Rhinolophus ferrumequinum: one gene and its partners. The protein of the gene in region 1 interacts with the protein of each later gene in a biochemical or structural test. Links are inferred from orthologs where the notes say so. Each region holds a gene or a part of one and is shown on either strand. Other genes may lie near its edges.

Region 1 (6,877 bases):
GTGACCCCAGGGTTTGGGTCTGTTCATTTCCTCCCTGTCCATGGACCTGAACCCGGGGAGGGGTGTAAGCAAACCTGCAGGGACGCTGCCGTGGGTGTGTGTGTGTGTGTGTGTGGAGGGGGGAATCCCAAGAGAGGAAGCCACGTGCTGGGAAGTGCTCGGTGCCAGGAAATGCAAAGCAGGGCGACAGGAATGGGAAGGCACTTGCTTTTAAATCGTGGCCAGGCAGCCCCCCCGGGCACAGCCCGCAGCCCTCAGGCAGGAGGCAATGTGGGCCAGAGGAAGGCAGGGTGGGCTCGCAGGCAGAGGTGGGAGCCTGCAGGGGGCGGGGCAGAGGAGCGCCCCACCGGCTTCTGTCTTTAAGGCTCTCTCTGCTCAGACGGGGGCAATGACAGTGACGACAGGCTGGGAGGCTGGGGCGGGAACCCTGATGTCTGAAAACTCTTCATTTCTCAGTTTCTCAAATCCTTCACTTCAACTGGTTCTTCTACATGAACGACCCAACAACCTTTACATCGCCAGCAGCTATGCCCTGGCCACCCCCGGGCCAGAGGGCACAGCACACATTAGCCCCCAAAGGCCTGCTGCCCACTGGCTTCCCCACTGACAGAGCCCTCAGAGGGCAGGCCCCCCTCCCCTGACCAGGGCAAAGCAGACAGCGCAGACTGGCAGGACGCTTCTGCTGAATTCATGAACACAGTTCTGTGACCGACGACAAGCAGCCTGGTAAGCGGCTGTTTAAGTGAGGCAAAGGTCCCTAGCAAGTCTGAGCTAGGCTAGGCATCAAAACAGGTTTCTGAAGCCCCAGGCCAGCTCTGGAACACGGAGCAGCCATGGACACCTGCGTCCACACAATTCCCCCAGTGCTCTGGGGGGGGGGGACTGCGCCGAGCCCAGGCCACGACTCAGTAGGGTGAACTGCCTGCCTGCCACCCATGTGCCAGGACCGCGCCTCTTCTGCTCTGAAGACCGGGCAAAGCTGCCCACGGAGGCCCTGTCCCACCTAGTGCCTAGCTGTGGCGGTCCCAGGTGTGAAAGGTCAACGAGGGGTAGTCCCACAGGAGCTCCTGCAGCCCCCCTCCCAGGGGAGCCGAGGGACCAGGCCAGGTCACAGTAAGACTTTCTGCCATCAGGGCACAAAGCCACAGGTGCCCACCAGCACTGTCCCAGGCAGAAGCCTGGTCTCCAAGATGGTGCTTCCGCTCCTGCGGGCCGCCCAGGGTCCAGGAGAAAGCAGCCAATATATTACATTTTAATTACAACACTAGGAAGCGCTCACTCAGAATCCCACTTAACACGGAACCTGCCTTCCCCAGCGAACAGACAGGCACTTAAGGAGCGTTATGTGTTACGAGATGCTTCAGAGCAGCAAAGTTGCAGATGCAAATAGAACATATCCGTGAACTACTAGAGACGCCCGCAGGACAAAAGGCCGAGTTCACCAAGCGGGAGGGAGGTCTGCCCTCCACCTTCCTCCAGGGCCCTGTAACGGGCTGTCCTTGAACCTGTTCTTCTCCGATCAGCTCTGCTGGTTGACAGCACGGACTTCAGAGCTTCTTACTGGCTGTGGGAGTGTGGCAAGCTGCTCGTCTCCCCCAACCTCAACTTCCTCACCTGTAAAATGGGGGGGGGGTGGTACTCAGACCCCACAGGTTTGCCCAAGACGAAACAGATAGTGCATGAAAAACCCTGGATGGGCCTTTTCCACACGCCCACAAATTCCCCCAGGGGAACAGCCTTCTCTTGCCTCACCCAAGCAACCTGCACTCAGGACACCCTCTGCCCAGGCTGTACTTCCTGTTCTCGTTTGACAAACCTCCCAGGACCCCAGGCTGTTTCTGAAGCAAGGTCCCAAACACGGACTCTAACCAGACAAAGGTGCAGCAGGACGCAGAATTCACCCCTAAGCCACCCAAAAGGCCGCAAACAAATTAGGACAAATTAGGATCCATCTCCCTTTTCTGTCGGGTAGGTCCTTTACCTAAAGGCAACGTTTCCTGAATGGCAAGAAACATTTGTGGCTACCCTCTTTAAAAGGCAACAAAAAGCCAACTTTGCAAACACAGTACAGTAACTTTGCAAACCGCGGAGCCAAGCACACTTTCCAAGCATACAAACCAGACCAGTTCACACTGTGATTCAGGAGCGACTGCAGGCCGTGATCCTGAGCCCAGCTAATCAATCATTCCCTTCCCTTCCCTCCTACTCACGAAACCACCAATTCCAACCTCTGTTCAATTGATACAAAGCAACCTGAAAAACAATTCTGCCTCCGGCGAAGCGCCGCCGGGCAGGGTCCCACCAACGACAAGAGGAGCTCTCGAGAGGCGCAGGAAAACTCAGGCTTGTTTTGGTTTGTAGACATCAAACGCAAATCCCCCAAACAAGCCAGCGATTTTGCAATCCAAGACTTTCAACTCTCTCTGCTGGGCCTTCTCTCCCCGGCTGGAAAGCGCCACAGGTTTGTGAGCACAGCCGTGACCCCGGAAACGCACGTCCCTCGCAGGAGGGAAGCGCCTGTCAACCCCGCCTCGGCTCCCCGGACGCACCGCGAGTCCGCGCCGGAGGGGACACCCCCCACTTTCACAAGGGAAGGCGACGGGAGCCCGAGGGAGCAAGGCCGGGGCGACGCCGAGGCCGGGGCAGCAGAGTTGGGCCGTAACCCGCGGCGTCAACTGCTCGGAGGCGGACGGTTCCCGGGCTTAGGGGCCTGGGCGGGTCCCGGGGCGCGCAGGGGGCGGAGGTCGGGGCCCAAGGGTTCGCGGGGTGGAGGGGCGCCCGCCCGCCCGGCCCGACGGCGGCAGAAGCCCCGCGCAGCCGAGGCCCGGCCCCCATCCTGCTGCCGCTTCCTGCGCGCCCCCCGCCCGTGCTCACCTCGGGCGGCCGCAGCCCGGCAAGCGAGGCGGACGAGGCGGCGGCGACGGTGGCGGCGCGGCGCTTCCTTTGTCTCGGGACTTCCCTCCCGAGCCCGCTCCGCGCGCAGCCCGAGCGCTCCGAGGACCCCGGCGCGGGCGGGGCGCGGGCGGGGCTTGCGGAGGCTGCCCGCCGCATGCCTGCTCTGCACGCCGCCGCCGCCGCCCCGCGCCCAGCGCAGCCCATACCGCCGTTCGCCGCCCGCCGCCCGCGACCCGCTGCTGCGCGCCCACGCCCCGGGCTTGCCCAGGGAGTCCGGCCCGGGGGCGATTTTCCAGTCAGGCGGCGCTCTGGACACCTGGGCCCTTAAAGGAGCCGCGTCCCCGATGTCAGGGAGCGTCTACAAACTCCCCTTCGCGACGCGCGCGTCAACTCGAGGACACGCCGGTGAGCAGCAGGAGAAAGAGGAGGCCGAGATCTCCAAGGGCGCCCCAGATGCCTCGTGGGCACCTTTCTGGGCACGGGTCCCGTTGGTCTCCTTGGGGCTAAGACCCAGGGCCGGGGGACAAAGACCACTGAGGCCTACGGATCCCCAGAAGCGTCGCAGCACGGTGACGATCCTCCGAGTACTGCGTCTGTGAAACCCCTTACAATTGGCCGGTTCGGGGCGCTGGGCGGGGCGTCCATCGAATTGTCCCAATGAGCTGACCCCATACAAACGACCGAGAGCTTGCCCGACCGACGGGAGGAAAAGTGCGGACGCTCCCTAACCCAGGGGCTGGCCGAGGGGGAGGGGCGCAGGGGCTGCGAGCGGGAGGCCGAGGTGCGGGCTGGGACCCCTGCCCGGCTCCTGCAGTCAGGGTCTGGGGGTCCACCCCCAGCCCTTGTGTGAACGCTGGTCCTTCCTGGCCTCGCTGAGTATCTCCCCGTCGGGCCAATTCCCAGGGCCAGCTTCATTGCCCAAACCCCAGCTCTGGGTGGGGAGAGGGCGCTTCCCAAGGTCAGCCCGCTCCGCCCGTGGGCGCTTAGGGATCAGGCCGCGATGGGTGTGGAGGGCGCCTGACCCTAGCCGCGCAGCGGGGGGTGCTGGACAACCCCAGCGATTTGCATTTACTCCTTTCCCTCCCTTTTTTGCTTCCTTCCCTCCCTCCATCTCCCTTCTCTGGCCCTCCCCCCACACCCCCAAGTGCCTCTTTTGGCCCTGTGCTCAGAGACTGTTGGCTTCCCCAGGGGCTGGACCATAGGTCCGGTGTACTATGTCCCACATCTGGCCCAGTGCTCTGAGTGGACGAATTCCATGTGCTCCTAGCCATCCTGTTACTCTGGGGCAGTAAAATGAAGCTGAGGGTCTCCTGGGTGTGGTGGCTCTGCTTGGCTGGATTGGGGGTCTGCCTACGATACCTCCTGGTCAGCCGTGGCCCAGAGAGAAGGCGTGGCTATAGGGACTGGGGTCCCAGGTGACAAAGGCCGGAGGGCCCCTCCGGCGCCATTGAGCAGAATGTGAGCGTTCCAAATCCCTCCCAGACTCTGAACTCCAAAGAGGCTGCTCTCTCCTGGGTCCCCACAATGATTCAGTATCTGCCTGGCCTGGGGACGCTGCCTGCTTCACCCAGGCAGCTATAGTTCTCAACCTCGGGGTGCCAGAAGCATCAAGGGGCTTGTCTGTGACACCCTTTCTCTGGTTCCCCAGCCCTGGTTGGCCAGCTCTGAGTAGTCCTCAAAGTGTGCCTTATATAATGAGTGCCCCGGCGAGGCCTGCCACACACCTCAGCTGAGCTACACTGGAAGAAACCAGCTTCCTGCTGAGGTGCATGGGCCTTAGGTACCAATGCCATCTTTCTCATTCGGGTGCCAGGAGGTTTGTTTGCACAGGGCTGCTTGGGGAAGGCACGCCGCAAATGGCCAGTAAAAGGTGGTGGCCATTGCTGGAGTCAAGAGAAGAACCAGGAGCCCAAGAGGGCTCAGCATAGCCAGGGGGCAGAGGGAGGGCGCAGCTGGTGGCCTGGATGTGGCGTGTCGTGGAGGGCCTGGGCCTCCACATTCTGTGGGCCATGGGGAGCCATGAAAGGTTGTGGAGCAGGAGACTCAGGGTCCTGGGTTCCATGTTTGTGTGTGGAACTGGAGATGGTGAGTCGTCCAGCAGAGAGAACTTCCATCCTGGTGAAAAGGGGTGTGAGGCCCAAAGTCCCTCATGCAGGAAGGAGAATGTTGGGACTGGTAGATGGAGAAGGAAGCGTGTAGCAGGAGGGTGGGTTGGAAGAGGGCAGGGAAGCTACCTCAGATCTGGTATCGTCAGCCCAGGAGCCTGCATCTGGCACACACGTTCTCAGTGATGGCCCCTGAGCCATCCATTCATCAGTCAGTTCACAAGCATTTATCCAGCATTGACTGGCCTTGAAGAAACTATGTTGTAGACGGGGCCACATGGCAGGGCCCTGGGGCAGCATCCAGGAGCTGAGAATGGCCCTCTGCCAACAGCAAGCCAGCCAGCAAGAAAGCAGGGACCTTGAGACTTCAATAACAAAGAGCCGAAGAATGCCACAACCAGTGAGTTTGCAGGAAGTCCCTCAGCCTCAGATGAGGACTGGAGAATGCCACCCCAGACTTTGGAGACCTGGAGCAAAGGACCCCACTAAGCCTGGGCTTCTGATGCACAGAACCTGTGATAATAAATGTGCTTTATTTAAAGCTGCTAAGTTTGTGGTAATTTGTTACACACTAATAATTAAAGTACCTGGTTTAGGTAGGGTGGTCAGGGAGGTCTCTGAGGAGGTGACCTTGAAACAGGAAGGGAGAGCAACATCCAGTTGTTGGGAGGGCTGGGGGAAGAGCCTTGGGGTCAGGAGCTGGAGGTGGGGTGAGGAAAGGCCGAGAGGCTAGGGCAGGGTAAGCCGGGGGATGGTGGTACGGGGTGCAGTTGGAACAGGCAGTGGGGACCAGACCTCGAATGAGATTTCCAATGTGCTGGTAAGTTTGCTGTGTGTCCAAAGTGAAGCACTTCCAGTGGGAGGGGGGATTTGATTGGGTCCAGCTCCCTGAGTACAAAGGAGAAACAGGTTTGCAGAAGGCTTTGTGCAGAATCAGTGAATATAAAACGGGGGAAGGATTCAAGCTGATTGTACCAGGTCATGTGGCCACCTGGTGGGGAGGGAGTGGTAAGTGTGATTGGGAGCTGCCTAGAGTAGGGGCAGTACCCTGTCCCCTGGGTTCTCGCCAGGGGGCCGAGCTGTGGGCACGAAGGTTTGTGTGCAGGGTCCATTGTTCAGGGGCTGGCTTAAAAAGAAAGATCTAGAAGAACGAAGTTGGACTCCTACCTCACACCACATACAAAACTAACTCAAAGGCCTAACGTGAGGGCCAAAACTATAAAACTCTTAGAAAAGAAAACGGGAAAATCTTCATGACACTGGATTTGGCAATAATTTCTTGGCTATGACACCAAAAGCACAGGCAGCTAAAGAAACGGATAAGTTGGATTTCATCAAAATTAAAAACTTTTGTTCCTCAAAGGACTCATAGTAGCAAAGAGGCAATGAACAGAAAGGGAGAAAATATTTGCAAATTACATATCTGATAAGGGAGGTTAATATCTACAATATATAAAGAACCCCTTCAACTCAACAACAACAACAAAAACACCAATTCAAATATGGGGAAAGGGTCTAAATAGACATTTCTCCAAGAAGATACACAAATGGCCAAAAAGCACATGAAAAGATGCTCAAGACCACTAGTCAGTAGGGAAATGCAAATCAAAACCAGCAGGAGATACCACTTCACGCCCAATGGATAGTTACTATCAAAAAATGGAAAACAACGAGCGTTGGCAAGAATGTGGAGAAATCGGAAGCCTTGTGCATTGGTTATGTAAAATGGTGCAGCTGCTGTGGAAAAGTCTGGAAGGAGAGACGGCTGGGGGCCTGAGGGAGCCCATGAGGGCCTGGACCTGTCTCCCTGAGCTTGGGAACTGTCTTTGAAGGATGAGGAGCCCCACATTCCACTCTGGGGGGGGTGCATGCGGACT
Region 2 (7,507 bases), on another chromosome or scaffold:
CACAGAAGAGCCCCCACCCCGGCCCTATCGCAGGACTCACTGGTGGTCCTTGTGGGCGTTGAGCTGGCAGTCCCGGCAGGTGAGGGTGTCACAGCTCTCACAGAACAACACGAGGGGCTCGTGCTTGTGAACGTTGCAGTACACTGTGCGCTCGCCATCTCGGGACTTGGCTGGCCCTGGGAAATGGGTATCTTAAGGAGGGAGCCCAACCTCAGCATGTCCAACTCGGGGCCTAACTTCCTGCCTGTCCTGCAGCCCTGGGCTACCTACTGGGAAAACCCAGGGGCCCTGCAACCAGGGCCCAGGAAGAGCACAGGCCCCAGAGCCCAGACCCTTCCTCTCAAAGCTTCCTGTCCCAAGCCTGACCAAGAGACCACCCCCTCCAGCTTCTGGCAGTGTGAGGATGATGGCCTTTGACAGGATACCTCCCCGCTGCTGGTCCCTCTACTGGAACCTTCTCCAGGTGGACACTCAAAAGAGTTCCTCCGCCTCCGAACCCCCCACTGGGTTCCCTTTCTCTTCCACTCACAGCAGGCTCTGTCCAGCAGGGGGGCTTTCTGGCTACTGAGGCATCCCGGGCACGAAGAACATTTGCTTTCTGGCACAGACAGAAAGCGAATCAGGGCCTAGAGGCACCACTCAGGCAGCTTCCTCAGGAGCCATGCCTGCTGACCTCCCCTCTTCTTTGCTCAGAGAAGGCCGTGTACCTTACAAGCCATAGGCCCTCAGGCGGCATTGCAGAGCCTCCTCAGGCTGGCAGAAATGAGGTGTCAGACCAGGACTCTCAAAAAGGTGTCAGGCCCCCTGGGGGCGACAGGTCCCGGTACTGTTATACCACCCAAAGACCAGTATACCACATTTACAACCCCCTCCCCACCCAGTGTCTGTCACCATTAGAAAGCTGTTTGGGAGTCTGTTCCGCTTTCTTCCTCAATCCCAAAAACATCCCGGCAATACCAACCCAGCCTGAGTTATGCGATACTGAGATACAAACCAGGCATCAGCTCCTTCAATGTTACTTCATCCTACACCCTGACCTTTGCCTAAAATCCAGGATCCTCTGCCTGTCCCTCCTCGCTCCTCATGCTGCACAGCCACCACTGCCATCCTCATCTTCCCACCAGTACTGTCCTCTGTGCTGAAGCTGCCAGTGTAACTACCAAAAGGCCACTCAGAACTTGTACATGAAAAACCAGGCTAGACTCAGAAAGCTAACAAGTCAGTTGCCATACCACTGCCAGCATTCACAGAAAGTCTGGAAATACCCAGCTGCGCTTTAAGACACCCACACCCCAAAGATAAAACGACTGGCAGTAATGGCCCGAAGGCCAGCCCTCACAGCTTGTCAAGACGCTGTGGCTGGAGGGCCTTTCTCCTACAGAGCCTTAAGGCAGGTGCCAAGGAACCCCAAGTCAAGAAGGCCCCTCACATCTCTCTCCAAATACCCTGCATTTCCCTGTCTGCACAGGGCAGTTCCTCCACCACAGACAGGCATTTCCCTGTCTGCACAGGGGGGATAGCGGGGAGCCTCCCCTGATGAGCTTCCTTGAACCCTCTGTACACTCTGAGGCACAATGAGGTAGGTCCCTGTGAGCTTCTTCAGTCTCCTGTGCACACCCCCCGCCCTCCGCAGCACCGGGGGCCTTTCTCCCCCTCCCCCACCTGGACCATAAGACCGCATACCAGAGCCCCAATCTTCTGATTTTGAGTTCTGCCACCAGGCCTTTCAGGTAGTGCCCCCTAGTGAAGGTCCTGGGACAAATCCACCATCTGCAACCCACTTAAGCAGCTGAAGACTTATGTAGAAGGGGAACCCAGGCCCCCCTCCATCCGCCTTGTGTACCAGTGGAGCGCACGGTGTGGTCCTTGGTGTACTTCACCCGCTGGTGTGCCTCCACACATGTCTCACACAGTGGCTCAGAGCACTCCACACAGTAGCTGGTGGCGGGGGCATTATCCTCACAGCTAGTGCAGCACTGCCAGGCAAAGGTAGAGTCAGGAAACACAACCACCAGAAATGCTGGCATTTGCAATCCAAGAAACGTTAAGTGGTGCCTTTACCTAGCCTGAACAATTTGCCCAAATGCTCACAGTGTAGGAAGAATAAACTGGAAATATAACCATGCCCCTGAGCTGATGACCCCTCCCCAAGGCCCAAAGCCTCCTAAATGTTGCTAGAACGGAACATACCTGATTCGCATCCTGGGAGTCAGCGGCAGCCTTGCTGCCACTGTCACGCATAAAATAATTCTCCACAATATCTTTGGAGAAGCACTGCTGCTTGCACACAGGACAATCCACGACTGCTGAGAATAAAAGGAATTGAAACCATTCCATGATCACATCCAGACTATATATAACCCCATCGTCCCACTGGACCCCAGTTTCCATCTCAGGCATCCCATGCTGGGCCGGACCTGCCCTCCCAGAACAGAAGCCAAACAAACCCTTCTTTCATCGAACTTGAAGCACACGCCCCATCTCAGCGCCCGGCAGAGCACTCTCCGGGACCCTATCCTCTCGCCTAGCCGATTCACCCGCCACACACTAAGCACAAACTCCCCATCTGCGCGCCAGGTCGGGATCGAAAGCTGCCGGGTGGAGGGCGGGGTCAGACTGTACCCACCGGCTCCGTCCCCCGCCGCGCCGCTGTCCCCCGAGCTGTTGGCGACGGAAGGCGCCGGGGTCCCAAGGCAGGCGCTGCAGGCCGAGTGCAGGCAGGGCAGCAAGCGCGGCTCCCTCTCAGGCCGCAGACGCTCCCGGCAGACGCCGCAGTGTTCCAGCAGCTCCAGCGCCTCGCCGCCGCCCCCCGCAGGCGACGATGCCGAGGCGGAAGCCGACGCCGAGGCCGCGGCCGCGGCAGGGGAACGTTTTTCGCCGCCCGCCGAGCCTTCACCCGGGCCCGGACTGCCCGAAGCGGCTGCCGCCGCCGCCGCCGAGGCCGAGGCCGCTGCTGCCGAGGCCGCCATTCACACGCCGCCGCGGGCGCCCAGGGGGAGGAGGGGCGCGGGGCCCGCCGCGCAGGCGCAGATGCACTCGCCGCCAACGGCTGGGTAGCTGCCGATGCCGCCGCCGCCGCGAGGCCGAGCGCCGCCACGCGCCGCCTGGGCCTCCGCCCGCTGCGCGCAGGGCGCTGCCGAGGCACGGCCAGCCGCTGCCTGCTCGCCTCCCGCCGACGCCGACGCCCGCGCTTCCCTCTCGGTGGCCTCGGAGACCCAAGACACGCAACGCGAACAACCGCTCGCCCGTGCGCCCACTCGCAGAAAGAGCCGCGGCTCGGGGGCGGGACAGAAATAACTGGCGCCGACGCCGTTGCGCAGGCGCGCTGGGCGCCTTGAGCTTGGGGGCGGGGCCCGGGCCGATCGCTATAGAAGAGGCAGCGAGTACGCACGCGCCTGAGTTGGATCCTCCTACCTTCGCCGGCACCACCCCGGCGCCGCCTGTGAGGCAGGGCGGAGCATCATTGACGTTATAGCCGCAACGTAGAACGCGCTCACGGTTTTTAGAGAGTGCTCCACCTCCCCTCTGGCCCCACAGTCTGGCCGCTGTGCTGCGCACGCGGATTGTCAGCCCAGGCCTCCACCTCAATCCCCGCCCCTTTGGCGGCCGGGAGACGTCTCCAGTCATTGCAATAGGCGTTCGGGAGAGGGGGCGGGGCCAAGACCTGGAGGAGACGGCGGGCCCGAGAAAGGGGCAGAGTGTTCCCATCCCAGAAAGAAGTTGCGTTCTGATCTGGCAGGCTGACTTTTCGGTTTTAACCTTTTCATTGTTTAACGTGAGAAACACTGAAACCTGCCCGAATCGAATAGGTCCCAAGGGGCTACAGAGCGGCGAGTCTTGAGATCACGCCTGGCCCACCAAGCGCCCCTTCCCGTCTCCAGCCAGCATCTGTGTTGACTTGGATGCTTTTCCAGGTGGCCGAACCGAACTTCAACGGAGGTGGACTTCTAGGGAGGGAAGCAGGGTTGGAGAAGTGAATCCTGTCTGCCGGGGTCAGCTCTTGAGAGGATGCAGAGCCGCAAGACACTGCTCGGAGTCTCCCTGGCTCGCACACGCCGAGGCTGCAGGGGGAGCAGTTGCAGCCTCCCTCACCTAGCTCCTCAGGCGCCACCCTTGGCGGCGGAGGCGTGCCTGGTCCAGGAGAGATAGGCGTAGCCTTTGTTCCCGAAGGGTACTGGGGGCCTTGGGGCTTTGTTTCGGCGCCTGCCTTTGTTCCAAGCCTGACGCTGCCCCCTCAGCTGCGTCGGGTGGGGCCACGCCCCCTACCCACCCAACCCCCCCCCTACCCACCCACCCACCCCCTCCGAGGCCCTGGCCGCGGGCCCTTGTTTTCTTTTTTCCTTTCTCTGGTAATTGGGAAGGAAAGTTGGTAGCTGGCCGCCCATAGGGTGAGATGTGACGTCCTTTAGTAGTATTTGCTGGATACTTTGGGCGACCCCGTCCTGCGCTGGGCCCCAAAGGGGGTGTAACCCATACCTACCCTGGCCCCTGGGGCAGACGAAGGAGGGAGGGGGGCACGTGGGTCAGGGACCAGAGAGTCAAAATAAGTAGTTGATGGTAAAGAGTGTGGGAGTGGGCTTCCGTAGGTGCTGTCCCCAAACACCTGCAGGAAAGACAGTTAAGGCAGAAGCAAGTGCAAAGGCCCTGAAGCTGACTGGGCACATACGGAGCTGGGAAGTGAGCAGGGTGCATCATACCTAGAAGTTGCCAGACAGCTGCCCTTCACTAGACTCTGGTAACTGGTCCTGTGGTTTCAACGGCCTGCCAAGGCCTATCCTGTTCTCTCTAAACAGTCTCCCCTTCCTCCTGGGCCCTGGACCTTCCCAGTACATGGCCACACAGGCAGGGTGCCAGCAGCAGGCCTTGGAGAGTGGCCTTACCACCCACTGCTGGGCCACTGCCAGCCCCCTTGTCCAAATAGGGAAACCAAGGCTTCTGGAAGTGCCAAGATGGCATTGGGACAGGGGGATCAACTGGAAACCAGGTTCAGGCGGACTCGGGCAAAAGGGGCATCCCAGGACTAGCTGAGCTAGAGTGGGCATACAAGCAAGCAAGGCCAGGGCAGAACCCTTGCAAAAAGGTCCTCTCTGAAGATGCAGCCTATCCAGAGATCCAGAAGACAGGTACATCTTGGCTCTGCCCCCCACCCCCACCCCCGGCCATTAGGTCAGACAGAGCAGTCAGTGTCATTTCTGCTCTCATCCCCTGTGCTCCCCGTCCACCCTTTACAGTATCTCACCCTTTCCAGTCCTTGTTCATTAGAAATTGTCTACATCCTGGCTTTGCAGACAGGTCTCAAGGGTGGAAACTATAGGAATCACTCATACGGCACCAAGGGCAGCCAAGGCCTGCGGGCAGCCACCTTCTCCCTTCCCCACACTCCACACCTGCACCTGGCTCTCCTTCCAACCTTCAGGTGTCACCCCCAAAGCTATTTCTCTGGGAGGTCTAGTGACTGCATCACTCCAATCTCTTACTCCATCTGCACAGATTTCATCTGGGAACTAGACAGTTGTAGTTGTAGGACAACATGAATATACTTAATGCCACTGAATTGTATGTTTTACAATAGTAAAACTGGACAGTTCATGTTGTGTATATTTTACCACACACATAAAAATCAGATTTTGATAAGAGCTTTGGGGTCGTGGCTGGTTCCTCTCTTCCTACACATTTCAACTACAGAGAATCACAAAGACAGGCGCTCCAAGTTGTTTGTGCTCACTGCAGTATCTGCCATGCCTAGCCCAGGGCCCAGTCCACCATAGGCACTCAGTACATGTATAAAAGGGCAAACAGACGCATGGAGATGATGACTGTCTGGAGTCTGCCAATTTTGTAGGCTACAAGATGAGTTTTGGATTCTACTACTTTTAAAGCTGTTTTTAAAATGTGGTGAAAATTCACATGACATCAGATTCATCATGTTAGCTATTTTACAGCATGCAGTCAGTGAGTGGCAATTTATACATTCACTATGTTGTGCAATCACCACCTCAACACCCCAAAAGGAAACCCTGTATCCATCAGCACTCTCCTTTCCCTCTCCCACCAGCCCCTGGCAACCACTGATCATCTTTCTGTTTCTATGAACTTTTTAACTTTTTGATGGAGGCTTTAATAAGTAGAGGAAAGCACACACATCTTACATACAGCAAGCACCCTACAGAATCAGCTCTGAGAGCAAAAAAAAAAATGGAACGTCTCTGGCTCCCAGGAGCCCTCCATGACCCTCATAGCCGCTGCCATCCTGACTTCTCTCAACACAGAGAAGCTTCACTGGTCTGCTTATTGAAACACGCCGAGTTTGCACGTCTGTCTGGTTTCCTTCCCTGAGTGTACATCCGTGTGACTGTATGTGGGCCTCATCACACAAATACCCTAGTTAGTTTGTGCATCCTCCTCTTGATCGCATTTGGGCCTCCCTCCTGCTTGTGCTGTAATGCACACAACCGCTGTCCCACATATGGTTTCTGATTGGGCTGTTCTTTAATTGTTAGGAATGACATGATCTGATTCCCATTTTAAGGGTTCCAGGTGGGGAGTAGATGGGTTGGAGACAGAAAACAAGAGATAAAAACACTCATGCAGGTAAGGCAGAGAAGGCACTAGACCCTCTAAATCACCCTTTAAAATCATGATTGTTCCTCCATTAGTTTCCTGTGGCTACTGTAACACATTACCACAAACTTGATGGCTTAAAACAAAAATTTAATTCACAGTCCTAGAGGCCAGAATTCTGAGGTTCAGATACAGGGAGGGCCAGGTCACAATCCCTCCGAAGATTCTAGGGGAGAAAGAATCCTTCTTTGCCTTGTGGACAGAAAAGGGACCACATGTTAAACCTGACAAGCTCAGGAGACTGAAAATGACCACATAGGACAGTGTGAACATAAAAATTCCTAACTAAGGTGGGCCATGGCAGGGAAGTCATATGCTTGGCCTGTAGCTTCCTTAACAAAGGTCAATCTTTACCTTAAGTGAGCCTATCTGTTGTCTTTTTGCATCCAAGATAATATAGCTTTGGAATGTCAGAGTAATTCCTTTCCAGACCCCCCAGGGGGCACAACCCACCACACCAGAGCAGTAAACTACAAAATCCCTCATTGTTATCTTGTTCCCCAAATATTATCTCTATGTGCTGTAAAATGCTATTAACTATCCTGTACCCACCAATGTAAAAAAAAAGTGTGTGTCTCTCCATTTTACTTTTTAGCCAATCCCAGAGATTTCCCTGCTTTGCTTTCTCCCACCCCCTTAATCTATAACCAATGGATTTCATGTAACCCTCCTCCCTTGATTCTAACGTATAAAATAAGTTGGCCATTTTCCGGAGCATTTTCTCAATCTATTGAGACTTTACTTCCCAGCAATTCTCATCAGTTTGTCTCAGATAAACTTACATACTTTCTCTTAGGCTGGATTTTTTTTTTGTCGACAGCCTCTTCTAGTTTCTGGTGGCTCCAGGGGTCCCTTGGACCATGTTAGTCTTCGAGATCAACACCTT
Region 3 (6,970 bases), on another chromosome or scaffold:
ACACAGTAGTTATTGTTAAAATCAGCTGCACTAGATACAATTTGAGAATATCCAGCACCGGGTTAATTCCAATAATGAACCCAATAGATTAGTTAATGCTATGAGAAGACTAAAGAGAAAGAGAAAAGAGACACAGACCCAGGCCTGGCTCAACATGCTACTAACTACCAGCTCTCAGATGTATCACTGGGAACAATACACACTCCATGCGTTTTGCTACATCTCCGGAAGAGGTAAAGACTTGAGTCCACACGTGGATGCTTTCAAGTCCTTGAGGCCCACAGCCTGGTGTGTTTCACGCACAGATAAGGTCCTCCCTAGGTCTACAGGAATCCTCGAGGGAAGACGTGTTTCTCCTCTCTGTAATGCACCAACTCCGGCAGTGGCACTAGTACGTGCCTGCTGCCTCCCCTCTCTGCCTGCTCACAGGGCCAGCAGCGTGGGTGAGCTGAGTGAGTCAGAGGAGGGCTCGTTGCTGCTGCTGCCCTTGCGGTGGGCAGCCGCACAACTGGGGAAGGAGTCAGCCTCAGGGTAGGTGAAGACAAAGGAAGATGTGTAAGTAGTGCAGCTGGGAGTACAGGTGACCACGGGGGTGCACAGGGGCTCCAGCTCTGTGACCATGGGCCCCATCCCCAGGGAGCCACCATGCAGGGGCTCCCAGTCTGCTGCATAGAAGGAACCAGACAGGTCCATGTCTGGCACGGAGCGGGCGGTCTCAGAGCCGTTGGGCCTGGACGAGGCTGGGAACAGGAAGTCATCAAAGGGCTCGGCTTTCAGCTCCATGCTGCTGATGTTCTTGACAGGCTCCACTGAGGACTTGGGCTCAGGGTCATTGAGGAGGGGCAGGGCGAAGGCCTCCTCAGACTCGGGGGTGGCAGCCTCCGGCAGGCCCCCACTCAGATCAAGGGAAGCCACAGACATCTCTTCTGGGAAGCCCAGGTCATCAGGGATCTTGCAGGCAGGTCGGTGAGCTGCCAGGATGAACTCGAGTTTTTCCTTTTCCTTCAGCAGGTTGGCAATCTCAGTCTGCAAAGCAGATTTCTCATCTTCTAGTTGGTCTGTCTCCTGTATACAGAGGGATAAAGCAAAGCATAAGACACAGTATTGCTCAAGGACATTGCTCCCTTATGCCCAATCTCCAACTTTCCCCTTAAGTTTTAAAAAGAAGTGACCCAAGAAATCTACCTACCGCTTGCAGTGTGTCAGTCAGCTCCCTTCTCCGGTTCCGGCATTTGGCTGCAGCCATCTTATTCCTTTCCCTACGGATTCGCCTTTTCTCTTCTTCTTCTGGGGACAACTAGAAGAAAAAAAGTCCAACATTCAATAACAGTGTCTGCCATCAGCTCCATTCATCCACCCCAGCGAACTGACTCCTGCAGCTTCCTAGCTTCCTGGCACCTCTTCTGCGAGGCCATTTATTTCTATGTAACCTGCAGTTAGTTGCAGCCTGGGTGTGACTTGCATTTCAAATAAGATTCTCAGCAAGAGAATGAAGAAGAGCCTGGTGTAAAAGCATGAGCTAGAACCTCTTAGGGAAGAAACTATTAGGATATTCCTTGGGGTGGGACTATCAGAATCTGACTCGGCATAGAAATGGCTTGGAGCCAGAGTTCCCGGTTGGGAATGTGGAGTCAGTTCCATCAGTGCCTTCAACCTATCCACTGTGCTCCCCATCTCCACCAATGCTGACCCGGCTCCCTGTAGAGAGAAGGTGCGGATGAACTCCTCACCTGTTCCACCTTGCCCCTCCTGCCAATGCTCTGAGCTCTGCCTCCAGTCACGGTCTTCACAACTCCAGCCCTGGAGTAAGCCCCAGCTGAGGGGGTGGGAACTCCATAGGGGTGGGGGGCTCTGGTCTGGGATGGGGCCACGGAGGAAACCAGGGTGGGCTGCACCAGCCACTGCAGGTCCGGGCTAGTCGAGATGGCAGTCACAGTTGGGATGAAGTTGGCACTGGAGGCGGCCAGATCCGTGCAGAAGTCCTAGAACGAAACAGAAGGGGGAAGCTGATGTGAGTGAGCAGCCTCGGGACACAGGTGGCCGAGTTCCCAGGGCCGCATGCAGGAAGGAGAGAGGGAGTAGACACGGTCCTGCCAGGGGCTGCTCCTGTCTTTTTAAATGTCCCTCGTCCTGGATAAAAGATCTGCCCTTTTCCTCCAAGATTAGGCAGCGCAGAGCCTTTCTCCTCCATCCCGCTGCTGCGTTCCCGTTATCCCTTCAGCATCACTCGCTTGAAAGGGGGTTTGTTATAAATATCCCTGACGTCTGCGCTGACGCAGGCGCCGCTCCGGAGTCTCCTGAATGAACTCGCTTTTTATCAATGAAACTGCCTTACACACCCGCCTGCTTCGCCCTCCTCCCCCGCCCCTGCACCAGACTGCAACGGGAGGGGGGATTGCCGCTTTTGCCGCCTCCCGAGAGAAGCCAGGTTCCAGTTAGCATGTCTTTGCTTGGGACACGTTTGCCCCAGCTAGTGTCAGAGACCAGACAGAGAGCGCGGGCCGGGGGCAGCTCAGAATGAGCCTGCCGCGGGAAAGGAGAACCAATTGTTACTGACAAGCGTGTGTGAGCGCCCCACAAGTCCGGGACTCGCGAGTTAGGGCTGCTCCCTCCCCGCCAAAAGGGGTACCCGACTCGTCTTCCTGAGCTTCCCGCCCGATGCCTCCACCCCAGTGACCCCGAGCCCTGGGCTCGGTGAAGCCAGCCTTACCTGCGCATTGACAGGAGAGCCCATGCTGGAGAAGGAGTCGGCGGGTGAGTGGTAGTAGGAGAGACTGTCCCCAGCTGGGGAGGCGCTGCTGCAGCGGGAAGAGGCCGCGTCGTAGTCGGCGTTGAAGCTGGAGAACATCATGGTCGCGGTTAGTCACAGCCGGGCGAGGGGCTGAGGGAGGCAAGCAGGTAGGAGCCGTGGGGCAGAACTGGGTAGGAGCGCGGTCACTGCTCGCTCGCTGCGCCGCCGCCGCCGGCTCTATCTGCACTCCTCGGCTGCTCGCTGCAGATGCGGTTGGAGTACGAGGAGCCGCAGCCACCGCTTTTATAACAGCTTTTTGTGAATGAGCCCAATGACGTCACGGCGCAAACCATTGCTGCGCTGGAGGGGTGGCGCGCAAGTCTCGACACATCTGCGGCCTCCTTGCTGCCTCCGCCGCCCTCGCAGCCCCCAGTTCCCGTCTTGTTGTGTTTTTTTATCTTATGAACGTTTAGCATTGAGTCTTAGGGGTTTCGTGGACCCCCTAGGGTGAGGGACTGCGGGGATGGCTCCCCGCACGACCGCAGGGACCGGCCGTGGAAACCTGCTGACGCAGATGTCCTAATATGGACATCCTGTGAAAAGGGGGAAGGGATTGACGGGAACTGCGCTCCGGCTGCAGCCAACTCCGAGGGTGCAGCGTGGGGGGAGGCGGGGGCCGCGACCGGGGGAGGGGAGGCGGGAAAGGCTCAGAATGCGAGCGGACGTTAGCACCTGCTTCAATGCGGACCCTTGTTCCCGCGGTGAGGGGAGGGGGGCGGCGCCTTTTTACCAGTATGCAGAAACCAAGGAACAGTTCTGAGGCTCAGGTATTGGAGAAACAGGTAAACAGCCCCGAGGGCTTAAGCCTCGGCCCGCGAAGGAATGGGGACTCCTCCTCTATTCCCAATTCTAGCAAGTTCTGTGCAAACTGTGGAAGCAGACCTTCATCCCCTCGCCTCAAGCCCACGGGCTCCAGCAATACTAGGACTGTTACTGCGTGCGTTTGGAAGCTGAAAGTCGGGGTATCCGAAATAAGAGGATAACCGATTTTTATCTATTATGCTAGGTATTTTCATTTAATTTTATTTTTTGTTTTTAAGGAAAAGGGCGCATTTTCTTTCTCGGTCATATATGGAGACATCAGTGTTACTGTCAAACCCCTGAAGCACTAGCCAATAAACATTGTGCAGATCCTCCAAGCAAGGATGTCTGAAGGGTTCAATTGCCTGATTCTGAGCTGGGGCCCGGGGCGTGGGGTTGGGGTCGGGGATGTTATGTGGATAAGGTCGTCAGTTCCTGGTTTCAACTGGAGCGAGCTCTTGGGGGAGTGCAAGCCCAAGCTGGGGAAGTGGGGGCGATCCGGTCCCCCAGGAAGCTGGGCTTGCTGGGAGCCCGCAACGGGTGATTTTCCAGCCGGGACTTGAAGGGGGAGGGCCGGGGGCGCTGGAAGGACGGTGCCCAGTAGCGCCCAGGCTGGAGACCTCTGCTGCTGGGACCTCAGGCGCAGCTCTGTGGCCTGAAAAACGAGGCTCTGGAGCGACAAGGTGCTCGGGAGGGCGCTGCGCCCCCAGAAACCCCCCAAACTCCTGCCCGCTGCAAAGGACAGCCGGGGTCACACTACCCCGGCTCGGTCCCAGCACGCCGGCCACCTGCGGGGCACGAAGCCGCAGGTCCCCGCAGAGCCCTTGTGTCCCTTCTCCCCGACTCTTCGGGTCTGGGGGTCACGGTGAACACCTGGAGAGGGTCGAGGAATGATTAGGACACTGGGCGGATCCTTCGGGACGCACTGGGAGCGCGACCGCGACCTGCCTCCCGCCGCCGCACCCGGGAGCCAGGCGATCCAGCTATAGATAGTAACAGGGAAGCGGCTGTTTACAGCAACACAGCGCCGCCAGGGCCGTCTCCAGGCGACGCCGCGCGGCCGGGCGCGCCGTCCGCCTGGCGAGGCCGCCCTCCCTCCTCGCTCCCCCAGGGCCTCGGCCTCCCTGGCCCGGCCCGGCTGCGGCCACTCCTGTCGCCTGACATCATCCACGGGGTCCGCGGGCTGAATGCGGCTCGCGCGCGACTGTGCGCTAACCTCCATTCTTAGAGATGCGAACCCCGCGGGAGCAGGGAGGGCAGGGAGGCGGGGATTCGTGGAACTGGGCCACTTGCTATTTTTGCATTCCCTGTCACAGGCAGAGATGAAAACAAAATTTCATCATTGTATGTCACTGGTTTATGTCGGTGAGAATTTAGGCGCTTTTTTTCCCCCCCCGTCTCTTAAAAAAGGGGAGAGGAAGGAAAAACACATAATACATAAATACAGACTACTCAGAGCTACTCTGAATCCTAAAGCAATTTTCCTAATTCTATCATCGGTCAGGCTACTTCATTATCTTTGATTATTTAATTTAAAAAAAAGTCTATGAAGGCAAATCCATCTCTCTCATTATTAGCTTCGGACAAAGTAGGTCAGGCTGTGAATTCCTGGGTCTAGTCTTGCATTCCATTCATAACTGTGTCTCCAGCCTCTTAAGAGAAAACCTAGAATAATTTCATTTACTTCCCCTTCAGAGTCTTGAATCAGCTTTGGCCAACATCTAAAGGTTGTATCAAGATTTTATATGCAGGATTTATCTCATACCTAACTTATCCTGCCTATGCCAATAAAAAGGGCAAATGGGCTTTGGATGAACCTGTCTCCTCCAGATAGCTTAACTCTTTCCTTCCTGGCACCATTATGACCAGAGTTGGAGACTTAATCCATCCTCTGAAAAGGACCATGACTCCATCCATGAATTCATTTATTCTTTTATTTATTGAACAGAACACTTGAGAGCCTCGTGTGGTAGGGCATTGTGCTGGGGGCTGATGCTTACTAAAATAAACAAGGTGGACTTGTTCCTACCCTCATAGAGATTCCAGTCTCATGGAGAAGACTGACAAAGCAATAGAGAATTGCAGGGCAGCAGTTAAGTGGTTTGACAGAGGTAAGAACAGAGTGCCATGAAGAGGGTATGAAGACAGGTATCAGAGGAAGTGACTGCAATACAATTATGGGGCTTGGAACCACTGTCCTCTGGGAAACAACATGATAAAGATTGAAATGTCAGAGCATCATCTGGAGAAGCAAGTGCTCAACTCAAAGCAGTTCTATCAGATGATACAATCTCAGACTCACTTTCCTGCCCCACTAACATCTGAACCTGTGATCATTCTAACACACTCTCACATCTCAATCTGTTCATAGTATCCATTTCAGGACTGCAAAATCACATTTTTAATATGGAGTTCACATGACATAGCCTTAAAATAAAGAGAAATCAGAATCATCATTGAAATGATCTTTGCCATTTGCGAAGGTCAGGGTGACTTTGAGACAGATGTGTGCGTGCCTCTGAGTACCGCTTTGCCTTCCAGCGGGGCAGAGGTTCCACGTTCTGGACAAGCCTGAGCATCTCAAACCCAAACTTACGTTGTTTGTGATTATCTACGTGCTAAGTTCCTCCTATTTGGGGATCCAGAAGTGAAAAGGAGGGTAGAATCCCACATCTGATTTTAACCCAAATTGAAAACAAATTTATTTCTCCTCAGCAGTTGTTCCTTATCAGATAGAAACTTTTCCAATTTTGCACTTCTCTGGCATTTGAGTAAAGAGACCTGACCCACATCAAGCATTTGTTCAATAACTCTAGAAGTCAGTGTTTAGCCTGGTGCTATTGCAACATTAAGTGAAAGGCTGCTGTCTGAGCCACCTACGTAAATGCTGCCACGCACAACACGTCCCCAGCATGCAGAAGTAGTTATTTATTTGGGGAAGTGTGGTCTAGTGGTGAAGGATTGTGGTCGGAGCACGGGACCAGAAGTCAGGAAAATGCGTGTAGCAAAATCAACTCTTTCAGGGACTAGGGGAAGTCGCTTCTTAGACTTGTTTAGCATATACATACTTTTGGCCTTTGTCTTTTTCATATACTGTTATTCAATTAGCACCTAGCACAGTGCCTGGTGCATAGTAGGTATTCAATAAATATCTATTGAAGGGATGAATGCCCTATCCAAGCAAAGGAAATATATATTATTGTCCTTTTTGGGTACTTAGAAGTCAAATCGATAATGTTCGTTAAATCTTTGGAAAGGCTGAACAGGCTGAGTCTTTTATTCTTGGGTATGAATAGGCAAAATTTGGGAAAGAGAAAATAACAAGATGTTAGAGCTATTTTCAGCTGGTGCAGCCTCTGTGTATAAAGAACACCCCAG
Region 4 (7,791 bases), on another chromosome or scaffold:
AAATGCCAGAGTAATCCTCCTTTCCAAACCCCTCTGGTAATCATCCTCAAGGAAGCTCATAGACTTGTTGCCTATATACTATCACTATTTCCTACTGTGATTGTTAAATATAAACTACCCTGTACCCACCAATGTAAAAGAAATATATCTCTCTATTTTATATTTATCTAGTCATAGGGATTTCCCCTCCTTGCTCTCTCCACCTCCTTAACCTACTACCACCAATAGATTTCATTGTAAAAATAGTAAAAATACATTCCCTCCTTTCATTCCAAATGTATAAAAAGAACTGCAAAACTGCCATTCGCTGAAGCATTTTTGAGCTCTTGCTTCTGGGCATGTCTTCAGTTTGATTCTAATAAACTCTTATAAAATTTTCTATAGGTTTGGACGTTCTTACCTCAGCAGTCACATAAGAAGGGTGCTGGTTATTTATCATGCAATTTAGTCCATGGGTTACAGGAGGATAGCTGGGAGTGCCGCCTGGACCCAAAGGAAAATGAACAGTGCAGTGTAGTTCAGACTCTGAAGAGCACCAACTCTAAAGCTAGACACCTGAGGTTTAAAAATCCCACGTCTTCCAGACTCGAACTGCGTGATCTAGGCCAGATTATTTCATCTCTCTGTGCCTCAATTTCTTCATAGAATTGCTGTGAAAATTAAGTATGTCTGTGTAGCGCTTAGACCAGAGCCAGGCATGTATTGTAATAAGCACTATATTCTACTGGATATCTGCATTATCTTATCATCATCACCCTTCGCACTGGCAGGGGGCCGAAGGCGGCGGGAGTACAGTTCATCTTTAAATGTAGAAGACGCCACGGAGCAGCTAAGGCAACGACTGGAGTGGATAATTCTTCCAGCATCTCCACAGCCCGCACGCTCCCCTCCTCTGAAAACTCTCCCCATTAATCTATTGTTAGTTACCTAATGTGAACTGTGAGGGAGGGGGCCATCTTCTATCAAGTGCAGGGAGAAGTAATCACAACTGATTTACAGAAAGCGATGATGAAGCTGACCCACAAAACAAATCAGAAAAGGGAAAGAGGTGGAAGGCGGAGACACAGAGAGAAAAGCTTCTTTGATTTCCAACCACTTGGCCGTTTCTGGTTCCACTCCAACCAAAGCACTGACTGTTCTTTCTGCTCTATACCAGTAAATAAACTGTCTACTTTTTATTAAGCTTTGACCAATATGTAAAAAGTGTAATGCAAGACTTGGAAAAGTTCATCAACAAAAAATCTTAGAAAAGTTGTATCCTCGTACATCTGTTATTACACAAAAATTAAGACAATACTGCAGGTAAAAATAAATTTAACTTTAAACTTCAGTCTTCTCAACCCATCCCAAACCTAACACATGAATTTACACAGGTGAGGCTAAGGCCTGGTTGCTTCAAAAGCTCCACAGGTGTGAAAGCTCTGCAGCTGGGCTTCGGAGACACTAAAATCCTTATACGTACGTTAGCCTTACGAACACCTGTTTCCTACTATCGTGGTTCTCTGTATAAACTAGTAGAGGGCATTAATTCATTAATATACTTTTATCTTTACTGGGAATTAAAGAATTCTTGAAACAGCAGGAGGAAAAAATGACAGGCATTATACAAACTGTAACAATCTCCCTTTAGATCAGAATAATTCATGCATTCTTTTGCTGATGTCCACTGTACCAGCGAGGTCACCGGCCAACATCCTTCCCCGACCCCATCCCCTGCCAAAAAACAATAATAAACATACAAAACTGAATCTTTTACCGGACTCCTTTCCTTCTTATTCCAAAAAAGTAATCCTAACACCATTCGTTCATGTTAAGCAAAACGTTTACAGTGAATTTCAAGTTTATATTCATCTCTATTTTGACTTTGTTTTAAAAATCAGGGTTTCCGTCCTTAAATATTCCAGTTATGTCACCAGTAATTCAAGTGAGCCATAAAAAATAAATCTGGTCCCTTTATCACAGTTTTGTTTCGCTGAGGACTCTGAAGGTTATCAACCCGGGGGGTGGGTTGGGGGGGGAATATCCTTTATGTTCTACTTCCAGCACACCCCTTTTCAAACCTCTATTGTACAAAGGCATCAACAATAAAGTTGTGACCTTGTTCTAAGGCTAGGAGGAAAAATGTTTTTCCTCAACAGCAAGACGAGTTCACAAACTCACCTCATGACAACACGGACTTTGCGGATTTCTTACCATAGCCCTCAGAAAATATCAAGGTTGAAGGCCGATAACTGAAGGCAGGGTTCCCAAAAGACAACGCTTCTCTCCAACACGTTGAGGAAGCACTGGTGGGAGGGGCCTTTCTCGTGACCCATCTGACTAAACGGTAGCATCAGTCGTAGAGAAAAGAGAATTCCTAAACCCAACTTCACGTTTCAGAAAACAGTCTCCCACCGAGTGAGGAGCATGTGGACTTCTGAATAGCCAGAGACTCGGACACCCCTCGCGAAGGTGGAAAAGCAAATCCTGCTTCCACATCTGCCCTTAAAATAACGGGGAAGTCGCGTCCCCACGAGCCCCTGCCGAGGGCGGCCCCGGACCCCCGCGCCAGGTGTGCGGAGCCCAGGCCGGACCAAAGGGCCGCTAGCCCTGGGCCCCGGGCCCGCCAACCCCGACGCGGCCCCGGCGTCCTCCGCCGCCTCGTTCCCCTCCCCCTCCCGCCGCCTGCCCCGGCGCCCACTCACTCCGACGCGGGCCGGGACTCCGGGCTCCACAAACCCGTCCCCGCGTAGCAAGAAGGTGGCGGCCGGCGACGCTGCGGTTTCCCCGCCTTCCCTCCCCTCCCCCGCGGCCTCCGCTCTGCACTCCCGCGCCCCCGCTTACCCTCAACTCTTCGAAATCCGCCATTTTATACCAACCGCGGGCGCCGCCGCCGCTGCCGCCACAGCACCCCCTCCCGTTGCCGCCAACGACGCCGCCGCCGCCACCACGGCCACCGCCGCCGCCTCCAGCACCATCCTGCACTGGGCGCCGCTGAAGACGCCGCGGCCGCCGCCGCCGTCGCCGCCGCCGGGCCCGTCACGTGATAGGCACAGGAGCTCCGCCCCCGGCCGCGCGGCCCCGCCCACCAGGCGCCCCCACCCACCCGACCCGCCACTTTCCGCCGGCTTCTTCCGGCCGCGCTCCCCGCTTTCTGCGTGATCCTCTCGTTAGCTCCCGCCCTCTATCGTGCCCTGCCCGCCTCCCGCATGCCTTCTCGTGCCTAGCCCTGTCGCGGTCCTCTCTCAGCCCCGAGCGGTGACTTCCCTCCTCCGAGCGGCGGCCGGAGGCCGACCCCCTGAAGCGCCGTCGCAACTGCCGCGTTACCCGCGGGCTTGGAGGAGACCTGGCCCCGGGGAGTGGCTGAGAAGAGGTCGGGACTCGTGACAGGAACATTTCGGGAGAATTCTTACGGTGCCCTTTCACACGGTGGCTGTGGACAGAGGAAGCAGCTGCCAATGAAACCGTCCTCCAGCGTAGTTGTGTGGGAACGATCTAAGAATGGGTGCTGGATGAGCCATTGTTCCGATCTAATGATGCAGGATTGCTGCGGCCTCTTTGGATTGCTAATATCCTCAAAGTACTAACGGGGCTGATTCTGACTTTGAAGGGCAACTGAATGTCATGGCCAGCAGAGTTGAAAGGGTTGGGGGCAGGGGCGGCACTGGAAGAGAAGTGAAATAAGAGAGTTATCAGAAGGGCCATGATAAAAAGTCGAGGAGTCAGGGAAATCTGATAGCTAGGGAAGAATGAAATGGCAAGGGCAAGAGAAGATGGAAGGAAGCTTGATGGCACTTCTGACTTGCTGATAAAGGATGAGAGAAGATGCTGAGGAAAACTGATCAGAAAATTTGCTGGACCAAGTACAGGGTTCAGATTTCCTTGAAGAGGTGAATGGAACTCATCCACGAAAAGACTTTCAAACACTTAATAGAATTTCCACGGCCCCGTCTAATCTGGTTCCTACCTACTGCCTCCTCCCACTCCCCCTCGCTTCACCAACAATGCACTTCCGTCAGTTCCTCCATCAGACCCACTACCACGACTGATGAGACAGTGATTTATCAACCACCACCTTTTCAGACCTCTGAATGTTGATCCTCGGGCCCAGAATAACTTCCCACTCTTTCCCTCTTCCCCTCTTGGACTCCTGTTCACCCTTCAGGTCTCAGTTTAAGTATCACTTCTTCAGGAAGAACTTCCCTAAACCCACATGCCCCATTTCAATTCAAATCCCTCTCTACGACGACTCATAGGACCTGAACTTTTCCTCGTAATATTTCTCCCTGGTAAATATGTAATTATTTGTGTGATTATTACATAAATAGTGTTTTAAGTTTTTTACCTTAAAATTTGTTTAACCCACTAGACTAATGACTGATAAACGCCTGACAAATTATTCATTTGTTTAATGAAGAAATGAAGAACAGTATCTAGAGTAGGTTCTACACCGGGGTGTCCAAACTTTTTTCAACGTTTTTCACCAAGGACCATATGTGGTAAAATACACAAACAGCCGGGCCAGTCACTCGAGGTGAAGTACTTATTGCCTCACCTGGTTTATTTAAGTAAACTAAATATATTTTTGGAATTTGCTGTGGGCCAATTAACAATGGATTGCGGACCGCAGTTGACCCACGGGCCGCAGTTGGCCCACGGACTGCATTTTGACACCCCTGTTCTACACCATTAACTTTGTGGTCTTAGTTTGTCTTATTCTTGATCTTAGCTTAGTCTCCTTAGGCCTTGGTTTATACCTCAGTAGAGTTTAACATTATTCAACAGACATTAAATGAAGGTTACTGTGGACTGGAGTTTGGGGAACAGAAAGAAGAATAGAATACAATAAGCCTTTCCGCCAAGGATCTTACAACCCATAAGAGGGACCATCATGAATACAAAACTAAGAGAAGCAAGGCTGCACTGAAACTTGTTTGTAGTGTTCATTGTAGGGTTGGGTAGGTTTGACTGCATAGAGTATTAGGAGCTGGTCCAGACTGGTTTATGCCAATAACAACTGATGTCCTCCTGGATACCGTGATTAGATCAGAACTGTTCCTGTAAATCCAACTACAGGGCATTTCCAGGTTTGCCAATTAGGTCAAGTGTGGGCCCCTGCCCCCAAGGTAGGCCAATCAGGTAGGGCAATAAATATCTTAGATATTCAGTGATTAGAGCTGAGGAGACTCTCTAGAATGTGGAAAGCTGTAGCTATTTTGCTACGAGGGGCCAGCTTGAGGACCAACCCATGTCATTGGCAAGAATCACTAAAAAAAAATCAAAATTAGCTTTGACACCCACCTCACCTCTGTACTTGCCAGTGTTCTTGAGCCAATTCCTTTTTACTGTCTTGGATAGTTTGAAATGAGTTTTCTGTTAGTTGCAACCAAAAGAATTCTGAAACAGGATGCTACTTTGTCTCCCCAGGCCAGATTACTAATTTGGCATCTTTTCTAAACTATACTCCTTATATTCATTCAATATTCTTTTCAAGGGAAAGCTGAGTGGTAAAGTATAGAAAGAATGCCTCTCTCTTTACTGTCATGAGCAATTCAGCTCTGGCTCAAATTTGTAATATATCCTACTTATCAAAAACAAATCTGCACTTACTTGGATCTAACTTCCTTATAATGTGTTATAACAGTAGGCTCACCACCACTGTAGACCACATACCAAAGTACCACTCCAGCCACATACAGAATTGTTTCCCCAGAGGAATTCCATTAAATACTATTTTATTTACATTTTCAAGGATAAAATCTGTTTTATGGATTGAGATTCTAGGCAATTACCTGGTTGGGCTATCATCTTAATCTGGCTCCAATTAAAAATAAGTATTACAATGAAAGTGTCCTAAGATTATACTACATACTCATACAGTCAAAAGTCTCAGGATTGGCTTTTCCATTTATTAGGTGTGTAACTTTAGCAAAGTCTCAACCTATCTTTTCTAATCTATAAAACAGGAATGATTATCACTGATCTAAGGATGTTGGACGATTAAATGAGATAAGGTATATGAGTGCATTTTATAAACTTGATATATAATAAAAATATATATCAATATAAAATTGATATATAATAATTTTTTTGTATCTAAATAGGTGATAAACACACCAAAAAAAGTATTAAGAAGCACTCAGATACCCATATGGTATGTCCTAGTATCTTCAGAAAGGAGTATTCAACCTACTTGGACCATTCATGGAAAATTGAGTTTAGTCCCAAGAACCGGTCTTTTTAATTCTTTCCCTTTCTATCTCTGAACACATCAATTATCCCTGATCTCAACATCTTTCTTTTCCTTTCCACTCATTTCCTCTTCCTATAACCATGTTCAAGCCTCCTAGATAATTTCAGGTCACCTTTCTTCTTTTGCCAAACATACATCTATTTTAATCACATATATTCACTCGTTTACATTTTGCAAATAGTGTTTGGCTTCACCTTTACTGAAACTAATATCAAGGAAACTGAACAATTAATTTATCTTTTAATTTTACATCCCCAACTTTTTGTTCTGAATTGTTTTTAATCTGTAAAGAAAAATTAAAAGCATAATACAATGAACATCTGTATACACTCTAGCTAGATTCAACAATTGTTAATATTTGAACAATTTTTATTAAGGTATAATTTCTCATCATACAGTGAATTTCTCATATAGTGAAATCCTCATATCTTAAGTAAACTCTTCAATTAGTTTTGAAAAATGCTCATCAAGATACAGAACATTTCCATTACCCCAGAAAGTTCCCTCCTACTCCTTCCCAGTCAAACTTCCCACCAGAAACAACCAATGATCTGACTTCTAATACTACAGAGAAAATTGAAAAATGAAGGAACATTCTCTACTTATTATAAAATGCTATTATAACTTCAATGCCAAAACTAGGCAAAAATTAGTTTTCCTATCTAACTTATAAACAAATCTTACCCCAGGAATGCTGGCATAAATATTAAACAGCTAGATAATTTGATTCAACTCACCAATTGAGAACAATCAAAATATCTGAATTTAGAAAAACAAAAGCAAATACCTAATATAAAGAATTATCCAGCCCAAATCTTAGAAGGCAGTATTCTAGGTAGTTAAACCAAATATCTCTCCGGAAGGCATTTGACAATCTAAAGGTAAAATCTATAAACTGAGCTATGACTTTTGAAGGATTCCTGAGCAAGAGAGAAATAAATCTAAATCTAGTGCCACAGAAGATGGAAAGTCTAACATAAACACTCCCCATATTTAATACAAGACCCCATAAGGTAAAGATAAACCAGAAGTAAGTCAGCACTTCCAATCAGGTTTTACAGTAATCAAGAAACTTCAAGCCTTGAATACTAAATAAATAGGTCCTAGACTGGCATTCCGCCACAGTCACTGGGCAGAAACAAACAAAAATCCTCTCCAGATGAAGGCATCTTTACCTCAAACCTCAGATTATCCTACAGATAATTTTCCAAATAAAATGACTAGCAGAGTCAGAAATCAGAAAAAGACTGCAATAAAAGCATGCTTACACTTTTAAAATTTAAATTAAAAGTTTGAAAAAATCTAACAGGAATTCTAAAATTGAGAGGTTTAAAACCTCAATTGAGGCCGGACCGTTGGCTCAGGTGGTTGGAGCTCCATGCTCCTAACTCTGAAGGCTGCCGGTTCGATTCCCACATGGGCCAAGGGGCTCTCAACCACAAAGTCGCCAGTTCAACTCTTCGAGTCACACAAGGGATGGTGGGCTCCACCCCCTGCAACTAAGATTGAACATGGCACCTTGAGGTGACCTGCCTGCCGGATGGCTCGGTTGGAGCACA

The links.
Region 2: the proteins of UBE2I (region 1) and TRIM28 form a complex in vitro, tested with the Homo sapiens proteins (6 studies listed by BioGRID, with this or other methods). The link is inferred for Rhinolophus ferrumequinum from reciprocal best matches to the Homo sapiens genes UBE2I and TRIM28.
Region 3: of the proteins of UBE2I (region 1) and FOS, one has a biochemical effect on the other in vitro, tested with the Homo sapiens proteins (3 studies listed by BioGRID). The link is inferred for Rhinolophus ferrumequinum from reciprocal best matches to the Homo sapiens genes UBE2I and FOS.
Region 4: the proteins of UBE2I (region 1) and PIAS2 form a complex in vitro, tested with the Homo sapiens proteins (3 studies listed by BioGRID). The link is inferred for Rhinolophus ferrumequinum from reciprocal best matches to the Homo sapiens genes UBE2I and PIAS2.

Annotation. Positions count from the first base shown.
Region 1 is NW_022680357.1:3,163,810-3,170,686, reverse strand, and holds the start of UBE2I (SUMO-conjugating enzyme UBC9), read right to left. Parts: upstream 3,017-6,877; 5' UTR 2,875-3,016; intron 1-2,874. UniProt on the Homo sapiens protein: Accepts the ubiquitin-like proteins SUMO1, SUMO2, SUMO3, SUMO4 and SUMO1P1/SUMO5 from the UBLE1A-UBLE1B E1 complex and catalyzes their covalent attachment to other proteins with the help of an E3 ligase such as RANBP2, CBX4 and ZNF451.
Region 2 is NC_046298.1:50,976,352-50,983,858, reverse strand, and holds the start of TRIM28 (transcription intermediary factor 1-beta), read right to left. Parts: upstream 3,019-7,507; 5' UTR 2,970-3,018; coding exon 2,627-2,969; intron 2,307-2,626; coding exon 2,191-2,306; intron 1,977-2,190; coding exon 1,844-1,976; intron 599-1,843; coding exon 530-598; intron 177-529; coding exon 41-176; intron 1-40. UniProt on the Homo sapiens protein: Nuclear corepressor for KRAB domain-containing zinc finger proteins (KRAB-ZFPs).
Region 3 is NC_046289.1:23,387,374-23,394,343, forward strand, and holds the start of FOS (protein c-Fos), read right to left. Parts: upstream 3,020-6,970; 5' UTR 2,852-3,019; coding exon 2,711-2,851; intron 1,983-2,710; coding exon 1,731-1,982; intron 1,298-1,730; coding exon 1,190-1,297; intron 1,066-1,189; coding exon 424-1,065; 3' UTR 1-423. UniProt on the Homo sapiens protein: Nuclear phosphoprotein which forms a tight but non-covalently linked complex with the JUN/AP-1 transcription factor. In the heterodimer, FOS and JUN/AP-1 basic regions each seems to interact with symmetrical DNA half sites.
Region 4 is NC_046302.1:38,607,898-38,615,688, forward strand, and holds the start of PIAS2 (E3 SUMO-protein ligase PIAS2), read right to left. Parts: upstream 3,003-7,791; 5' UTR 2,848-3,002; coding exon 2,824-2,847; intron 1-2,823. UniProt on the Homo sapiens protein: Functions as an E3-type small ubiquitin-like modifier (SUMO) ligase, stabilizing the interaction between UBE2I and the substrate, and as a SUMO-tethering factor.